Linked DNA regions of Danio rerio. The protein of the gene in region 1 binds, or shares a complex with, the protein of each later gene. Links are inferred from orthologs where the notes say so. Each region holds a gene or a part of one and is shown in the gene's direction. Other genes may lie near its edges. The genes, in order: cdk6 and cdkn2a/b.

The links.
Region 2: the proteins of cdk6 (region 1) and cdkn2a/b are in contact, whole or in part, in a crystal structure (PDB 1BI7), measured with the Homo sapiens proteins. The link is inferred for Danio rerio from reciprocal best matches to the Homo sapiens genes CDK6 and CDKN2A. Residues at the interface, in NP_001138778.1 of Homo sapiens: Glu14, Cys15, Val16, Ala17, Glu18, Ile19, Phe28, Lys29, Arg31, Leu33, Asn35, Gly36, Gly37, Arg38, Phe39, Arg44, His100, Asp102, Gln103, Asp104, Thr106, Thr107, Asp110, Lys111, Gln149, Thr154, Ser155, Leu166, Ala167, Arg168; in NP_000068.1 of Homo sapiens: Thr18, Ala21, Arg22, Gly23, Arg24, Glu27, Asn42, Tyr44, Arg46, Gln50, Val51, Met52, Met53, Met54, Gly55, Ser56, Arg58, Asp74, Ala76, Thr77, Thr79, Asp84, Arg87, Glu88, Gly89, Phe90, Asp92, Asp108, Trp110, His123.

The regions. Positions count from the first base shown.
Region 1 is NC_133194.1:42,948,886-42,952,717, forward strand, and holds part of cdk6 (cyclin-dependent kinase 6), read left to right. Parts: intron 1-2,850; coding exon 2,851-2,901; intron 2,902-3,084; coding exon 3,085-3,220; intron 3,221-3,832. UniProt on the Homo sapiens protein: Serine/threonine-protein kinase involved in the control of the cell cycle and differentiation; promotes G1/S transition. Phosphorylates pRB/RB1 and NPM1.
Region 2 is NC_133176.1:27,775,845-27,780,252, reverse strand, and holds the start of cdkn2a/b (cyclin-dependent kinase inhibitor 2A), read left to right. Parts: upstream 1-1,338; 5' UTR 1,339-1,600; coding exon 1,601-1,726; intron 1,727-3,384; coding exon 3,385-3,636; 3' UTR 3,637-4,408. UniProt on the Homo sapiens protein: Acts as a negative regulator of the proliferation of normal cells by interacting strongly with CDK4 and CDK6. This inhibits their ability to interact with cyclins D and to phosphorylate the retinoblastoma protein.

The DNA.
Region 1 (3,832 bases):
ATAAAATAAGAGTAAAATAAATAAACAAGGCCTGATCTTCACATTATTGTGCTGAAATATATGCAAATGTGCAAATGAGCACATATTAAATTAAATAGTGCCTCATTTGCCTGTTTACAAACATAGTACAAAGCATGATGACTATTAAAATCGATGTCTTCAGTTTGCATTTATTGTGCAATACATTTAATACAAAAGAACTGAACGAACAGAACACGGTGATTAAAATGTATCTCTTCAGCCTCCAGTGTGGTGTTTCTAATGCGCTTCTGCTGTGTAGCTCAGCTCATGTTGGCTGTATAGAGAGTGAAAGCAGTTTTTCTCTCTTTGAGTCAGTATGTGTGTTTTTGGAAACTGACTCTGTGCTTGTGGCTCCTGCTATTTGTGTTCATGCCAAGGGAAGCAGCGTCCGCCTACGGGTGTCCTGACTGGCCCCAAGCCACAAGCGGGTGGACAGAAAAAGCCCTCAGATCTTCTGGGCCTAAGGCTGGCCAGGAAACAACGCATATACAGTGCACCAATGTCTGTTATGTGGCTGCAAGGGCCCTTATTTGTACAGTGGAGCCTATGAGGATTTTCTTTCTCCTTGCCTTCATTGAGACAGGCCAGAGACTGTTCAGCATTATTGCAGAATAAGAAGCTTGATTCTGAACACACACAGGCTTTGTATTGTGAATATGCATGCCTGTATTAAAGGGCGCCTATGATGAAAATCAACTTTTGTAAGCTGTTTGGACAGAACTGTATGTAGGTATAGTGTGTCCACTGTCATATTGGAGTGATATAAACAGAACAAGTCTCTTTTAAAATTTCCTGACGTTAAAATAGGATCCAAAACCCAGTGATGTTGAGGGAGACCGCAATATGACGTAGGAGTGGTTTCCCCGCCCACCAAATTGATTGACAGGCGACAAGTTTCTATGATAACATGTATACAGACATCCACAGAACATTTTTTTGCTTAGAAACTGGGACTAAAATATTTGCTATAAGCTTAAATGTTTTTTAAAACAGAGCATGTAAGTAATAAAGACTAATAAAGTTTACTCGCCATGTAATTCTTAAACAATCTAAACACCATGGCCGCATGGTGTTAGTAAATGCTAATATATGTGTGTGTGTGCTGCAAACAGCATTTGTGTGAGACTCATCCTTTCAGAAAGGCTTGAGTAAACTCCATCACAGATACATGAAATACACTTGGTATTTTTGACTAATGAGCTGTATTTCTGTTTCGTCTGTGTCTGTCTTTATCACTGACTGCTGTTTATCTGACGTAACGCAGGAAAAACAGACACACAGGAAAACAGTAGGCTGGGAGAATCAGCTCTTTTGCATTTAAAGCCACAGGCTACAAAAACAGCTACACTGTACTCAGACACCAAAATGGGCAGATTCTGGAGGCTATAATAAATAATCTGATGGGTATTTTGAGCTAAAACTTTACAGACACATTCTGGAGACAACAAAGGCTTAACTTACATCTTGTAATTAGGGTAAAATAGAATTTTTTATCTTGCATTGACTCAAAAAATGACTTTTACTGCTTGTTCAAAGTATTTAAAATGAGCTCAACTCAATTCTAATTATCATTTAATACTAAATTTTTAGGTTAATTTAAGTCATCTGGATATTTTAATAATTATATTTTAGCCTGTTCATTTCTGTTTTGTTTGTTTGGTTTTGAGTGTAACATTTTATTTTGCTTTATTTAGTTTCATGTTTGTAGTTTCCTAAGAAATGTTCCTCAGTTTGTTTTTTTCATTTTGTCTCTTCATAATTAGTTTGGTTTTATATATATATATATATATATATATATATATATATATATATATATATATATATATATATATATATATATATATATATATATATATATTGTTTATTCAATTCAGTTTTGTTTGTTTACATTTTTTTAATGATTTATTTTAGTTTGTTTAAATCTTGTCATATTTTATTAGTTGTTTTTATTAGCCTGTTATTTTCTGATTTGTTTGATTTAGTGTAATATTTTATTTTGGTTCATTTAGTTTTGTTTTTAATTTTATAAAAAATATATTTTTGATTTATGTTTTGTTTGTCTTTTGGTGTGTTTATTCATAATTTTAAAAATTCGTAAATATATTTAATTTAATTTTGTTTATTTTTATTATTAGATTTATTTTGGTTGGCTTATCTCTTTTAAGCTTCAGCTTAGTCCCTTTATTAATTTGGGGTCACCACAGCAGAATGACCCGCTAACTTATCCAGCATATGTTTTACACAGCGGATGCCCTTCCAGCTGCAACCCATCACTGGGAAACATCCATACACACTCATTTACACACACTTTGGACAATTTAGCATACCCAATTCACTTACACAACATGCTTTGGACTTGTGGGGGATAGCGGAGCACCCAGAGGAAACCCACACAAAACACGGGAAAAACATGCAAACTTCACACAGAAATGCCAATTGATCCAGCTGAGACTCGAACCAGTGACCTTCTTGCTGTGAGGCGATTGTGCTACCCACTGCGCCACCATGCTGCCCTACTTTTTATTATTTTCAGTTAAAATGGGTTTATTTACATTTATTTTAGTCCTTTAATTTTAGTTTAGTTATTATAAATAAAACCTTGTTTGTTACTCCTGTGAAAAGAATAATCAAATTATTAGTAATTTTTATTAGAATTTTTTTATGATGGTGTTTTCATCTTAGGTATTTGTACTGTTGTTTTACTTTTATTGTTAATGTTAATGTTTTTCCCCCTTAGTATTACACTTGATTTACCATTTTGGCTGTAAGGAAACACTGTATAAATCAAATGCATTATTAATAGTTATCAATATTTTTTTTATTCTCCAGCCCTCTTTTCCGTGGGAACTCTGATGTTGACCAGCTAGGCAAGATTTTTGAGTAAGTGCTGTTATGTTATGTTATGTTATGTTATGTTATGTTATGTTATGTTATGTTATGTTATGTTATGTTATGCTATGTTATGCTATGTTATGTTATATTATATTATATTATGTTATGTTATGCTATGTTATGTTGAAGATGTTAGCATCTGATTGTATTGTATTGTTTTTGTTGTGTCAGTGTGGTGGGAGTCCCGTCTCCAGAGGACTGGCCACAGGAGGTGGGTTTGCCCCAGAGTGCCTTCTCTCCTCGCCCTGCACAGCCCATAGAGAACCTGGTGCCGGACATGGATGAGCTCGGCAAATCACTCCTACTTGTGAGTTCATATCAATGTTATATCTCTAAATGCTTAACAATCTTTTTAGATGATTATCATATGAGATTATTACCCACAGAGAGTCTTCTCTGCTTTTATAAAGGTTAAGGAATATGTCAAGTAAATTGTGCTGTAAACCAAATTAATATTTGTTTGTTATTTTATTTTATGCAGTTATGCCTTCAAAAGGGAAGTATTTTATTTTATCCATTGCAATCAATGCAATCCAATGCAATTCTGCATTAAAAATGGTAGTATTTTATTTAAATTTTTTTCATTTTATTTTTATAGTTTTTTTATGCAGTTATGCCTTTAAAAGGGTAATATTTTATTTTATTTTTTTAATTTTAATTATTTTATTTTATGCCGTTATTCATTAAAGTGGTTGTATTTTATTTATTTATTTAATTTTTTTTATTGTATGCTGTTATGCCTTAAAAAGGGTTTTATTTTGTTTTATTTTTTTTATTTTATTTTATGCAGTTACGCCTTAAAAGGGATATTATTTTATTTTAGTTTTTATTTTATTTTATGCAGTTATGCCTTAAAAAGGTATTATTTTATTTTAAATTTTAATTACTTTATTTTATTTTATTTTATGCAGTTATGCCT
Region 2 (4,408 bases), on another chromosome or scaffold:
TGTGCTTCATCCCAGTCCATTTTCGAAAATGTTTTTTATTTTATTTTATTTTTTTATGATATTTTATGTATATTTTTGATCCAAAATAAATAAATCAAATCAAAACTTCTTTTTTCCCCCTTTTAATGTAGGAATTTCAACTGTGGTATTAAATATTAAAATGCTCATGCCTATTTACTGGAGTTGTGAAGTAAACTTTGTGCAGGATATCTTTTAGTTACATAGTTCAACTATTCTATTTCTACATGTTGTTTAATATCTATTCAACAAAACTAAGTAAAATAATTCATTTTTAATCGTTGCTTCTATGACATTTAAATTAAATTTTCTATTATTAACACTTAGCCAGTGGGGCTTTGCCAACTATTTTTTTTCTTTAATATTGTACTGCGTTGGTTTGTTATGATTATTTTATTTACTATTTCATATTTTAGTATCTATTTTGCATGCACATTAACCAATATTATTAACATGTTAACAACATCAAAACATGAATAAGTTAGAAAATTAAATACAAAAGCACACTGTTCTTCATTTTAAACAGGTGCATCTCAGAATGTGATTTTTACTTTATGTAAATGATCTACACAGCCACAGGACCCTTTATCTTTTTACTTATTTTCAACGTATTAGAGAGGCAACAAACTCACTGCTAAAATTAAAAACTATTTGCTACAATTGTTTAATACCTTGTTTCTGGATACAGGCTATAGTTTAGCTACAGTCGTGTGATGGGGAAATAGCATTACAAAACTGTAAGTCAGACGATGTTTGGGCAAAATTATGGCCATTCGCGTCCTTTCTATCGTGCAGAAAATAGATTTATGTTCATCTACAATCAAAAACAGAACAACCATTATGAAAAAAATATAAATATAGGCTACCACGAATGTATGTATATGCTTTTTTGTTATAATTTATGTGGATCAAAAATATAGTTTAACTTAAGCGCCCCACACAGCATAATGGCTAAATAATATACTTTAAAGTAGCCAAGTCAAACTTAATCTCTACAGGCCTAGCTAACATCGCGTCTTAATCAAAATCCATAAAATAACTTTACTCTTGAAAAACGAGAGATTTTTCCTGGTAACGTTAGCCTATTCCCGAAGAGTAACTTCTCCATGGCACAAAACCCAATTATGTTAGCATAATTAGCGTTGTGATATGCTTATGTACCCGAAAAAAAGAATAAAAAAACTTCTTGTGATCTAAAAGCAGGCTAATGCCAGTTACATTAGCCATAAAACATTAGCAGAACCTAATTTCTGTTTCTCTGCAGCCTCTCCTACTGTGTCGTAAACTCATGTCTTCCTGACTCAGCTGTTGTGCGCAGGCGCAGTATGACAGTACTGCACCACGGTTTTGCTGTGACGTTTATGACAGAGACAAGTCCGAACAAATATCTCGCTACGAAAAATTATTTTAAGACACAACACTTTGATAAACGAGTCAGTTTCGCTTATTTACGCATTATATTGGAACATGTTATTCATGGAGACCGATAAAAATAAATTACAGCGTTGAACTGATTGTTTTCGCAGTATCATCATCATTTGGTTTTACCTGTGAAGCGAATTAATTTCGAAAATCAATAAAGATGATGAACGTCGAGGATGAACTGACCACAGCAGCAGCCACCGGAAACATTTCCCATGTTCAGTTTTTACTTTCTAACGGAGTGAATGCCAATGTGGTTAACAAATTTAGAAGAACGCCTATACAGGTAGGTTTAGACGCGCTTTAAGAATAAACAACGGAAATAAACAAATGCAAATAAATAAATAAGATTAATTGCAGATATGTAACATTAAATTAGTAACATACAATTCAAAGACTTATTTTGTATTAAAGGTCATATTATTTAACAAATTTAGGCTATTTCATATTTTCACACCTGTTTGACTATATGGGATTTACTTTTCTTTTTTTTTTTTAAATATTAGGCTATTTGTGTATTTATTTTACTCATTTTAGCATGTTTAAGAACCTTTTAGGCTACTTAAACGGCCTGAAACATGTTTACCAATAGCGTGTTATCAACCTATATAATACTAACAACACTTTCTATCTTTTAGTAATGTCATTAATTTTAACATTATAATTTTAACTTATAGCTACATTCTTAGAAATTAGTCCGAAATAAGACAAGGAGTTTTGGATGTATTGTCAAAGTTCAAATTATTCAAAGAAAACTAAAATCTTATTGAAAACGAAAGTCCCAATGTACTATAACTGTGTATAAAAACCAAATGTTTACAATTATATATAAGAGATAGATAGATAGATTTATATACATAACAATAAATAAATAAGACATTTTATAGATCTTAATTTCAGATAAATTTTAAACTATTAAATCATATCTCTATGTGCGAGAAGAATGGCACACTACTTGCTAATTCACTCCCGAAAGCTTTGTTGGCATCGATGGTTTTAAGAAGAACCTTTTGCATCTATGGAGAAAATTTTTGAAAAATGTGCCTTTAAACTATTAAAATGTTTATTTCATTTTTTGACAATAAAAATACTTCTTTTGGAAGCTTTGTAATAGGTTTTCTGTGCGGAACCAGAAGGGCATCACTGCGAAAACCCTTTTCCTCTTATTGCCATGCTTGTTTTTACGAATGTACGTTTAATATTTTGACATTTGTACAGTTGGCCTATATTGACCAAAATAATCAGCCACCACTAGCACAGTCATAGACTAATGGAGTATATATTTTAGACCATACTTATTTTTGCTTGTTTTTATAATCGTGTAGGCCTATTATTATAATATTTGGTGTGAAAGTTTTCATCTAATTTTCACAATGTCCAATGGTTTTACGGTTCATGCTCTCGGTTACGGGACATCAAAAGCCGAAGAGGTAGCCTACAATAAAGTGCGTATAGATATCTTTTAGCACACTTTAAACAGATGGACAGCATACATCCAGAAATCGTAAAAGATTAGGCAATTGTAAAACTTCTGACGAGCATGAATTGCCTCAGAAAAATGTCAATTAAACGAAAGATGTTTAAGAAAATCACAAATGTGAACAAAGCATATTTATGGCATACATTTTATTTAAAATGATTATAGGAATCTTCATAATTAATCATATGAAAAATAAGAATTAGCTACAACACAATTTGTTGCATTTAATTGATTTACTGCCCGTGAATAATTTATTGATAGGCTAAAAGAGTAATGCATCATGCACAGCAATGTTCAGTGCCAGCATGTGCACTGCTTTCGTTCCTATTTAACCAAAAAGTATCTACTTTCCAGATTTCGAGTGATGGCAGTAAAATTATTGATTAAACAAACTTCTTTACAGTGACATCATGACGTTACTGGCGTTTATTTTTTCATGAGACAGCAATTTTCCCCCTCTCCAGGTGATGATGATGGGTAACGCACCTTTGGCTCTTGTGCTGCTGGAACAGGGAGCGGACCCTAATGTGCCTGACCCCGACACAGGGAGCACACCTCTGCACGACGCTGCCAGAACCGGATTCATTGACACCGTGCGGCTTTTAATCCGCTTCGGCGCCGACCCCAATACAAAAGATCACTGCGATTTACGACCAGTGGATGTGGCACAACAGACTGGCAACGTAGACGTGGTTGAATTACTCAATCGTGTTTAAAATGTTTAAAGACTGCATCACTGCATAGCCTAGGCTACTTTAGGTGGTAACCTTATTAATGCACTCAAGTACTTATAATTCTCAATAGCACATGGTCATTCATGTAGTTTGGAGATTCTAATCATTTAAAATTTTATTTCTGTATCTTTTAAGTTTATTTATTATTATTATTTATTATTAGCTAGTCAATGGGAACTTCAATAAAAGGCTACAGACACAAACCATCATACGCTCATGCTAGCCTATAGTTCGCATAATAAAAAGTGTAGACAGCATTATGTCCAAAGATAAATAAATAATTAAATAACATATCCACCTATTTGTTTTTAACCTGAAAAGCATGGCGACAAACATTGAATCAAATGGCTTGCAACGCAAGGACATCCAATATTTTTGGCGAGCTCTTTCTTTTTTCATTTCTTCCGGTTAAACATGCTTTTATTAAGTTTATAATATTGTACGACTAATAAAAATGAAACTTTCTATTTATACCAAGGCATAATTTAAATAATTTTGCTTAACGTGGTTAGCTGTTTGTTAGCTCTGTGTGGTTAAACTGTGTGGGTTAACTGACAAAAGAAACATTTAGTTTGTGCGGGATGTTTGTTAGCCTTTATTCTTAACTGTACTGTAGTGTTGAATTGATAATTGTTTCTTTTTTTCTGGCTACTCAAATACCCGGTGCAAACTAAACCCGTATGTTAATTAAGAGTTTAACCTTAAAAAACTATATATAGCCTAATAGAAAACGAGGCGCTTCATTTTACATGCA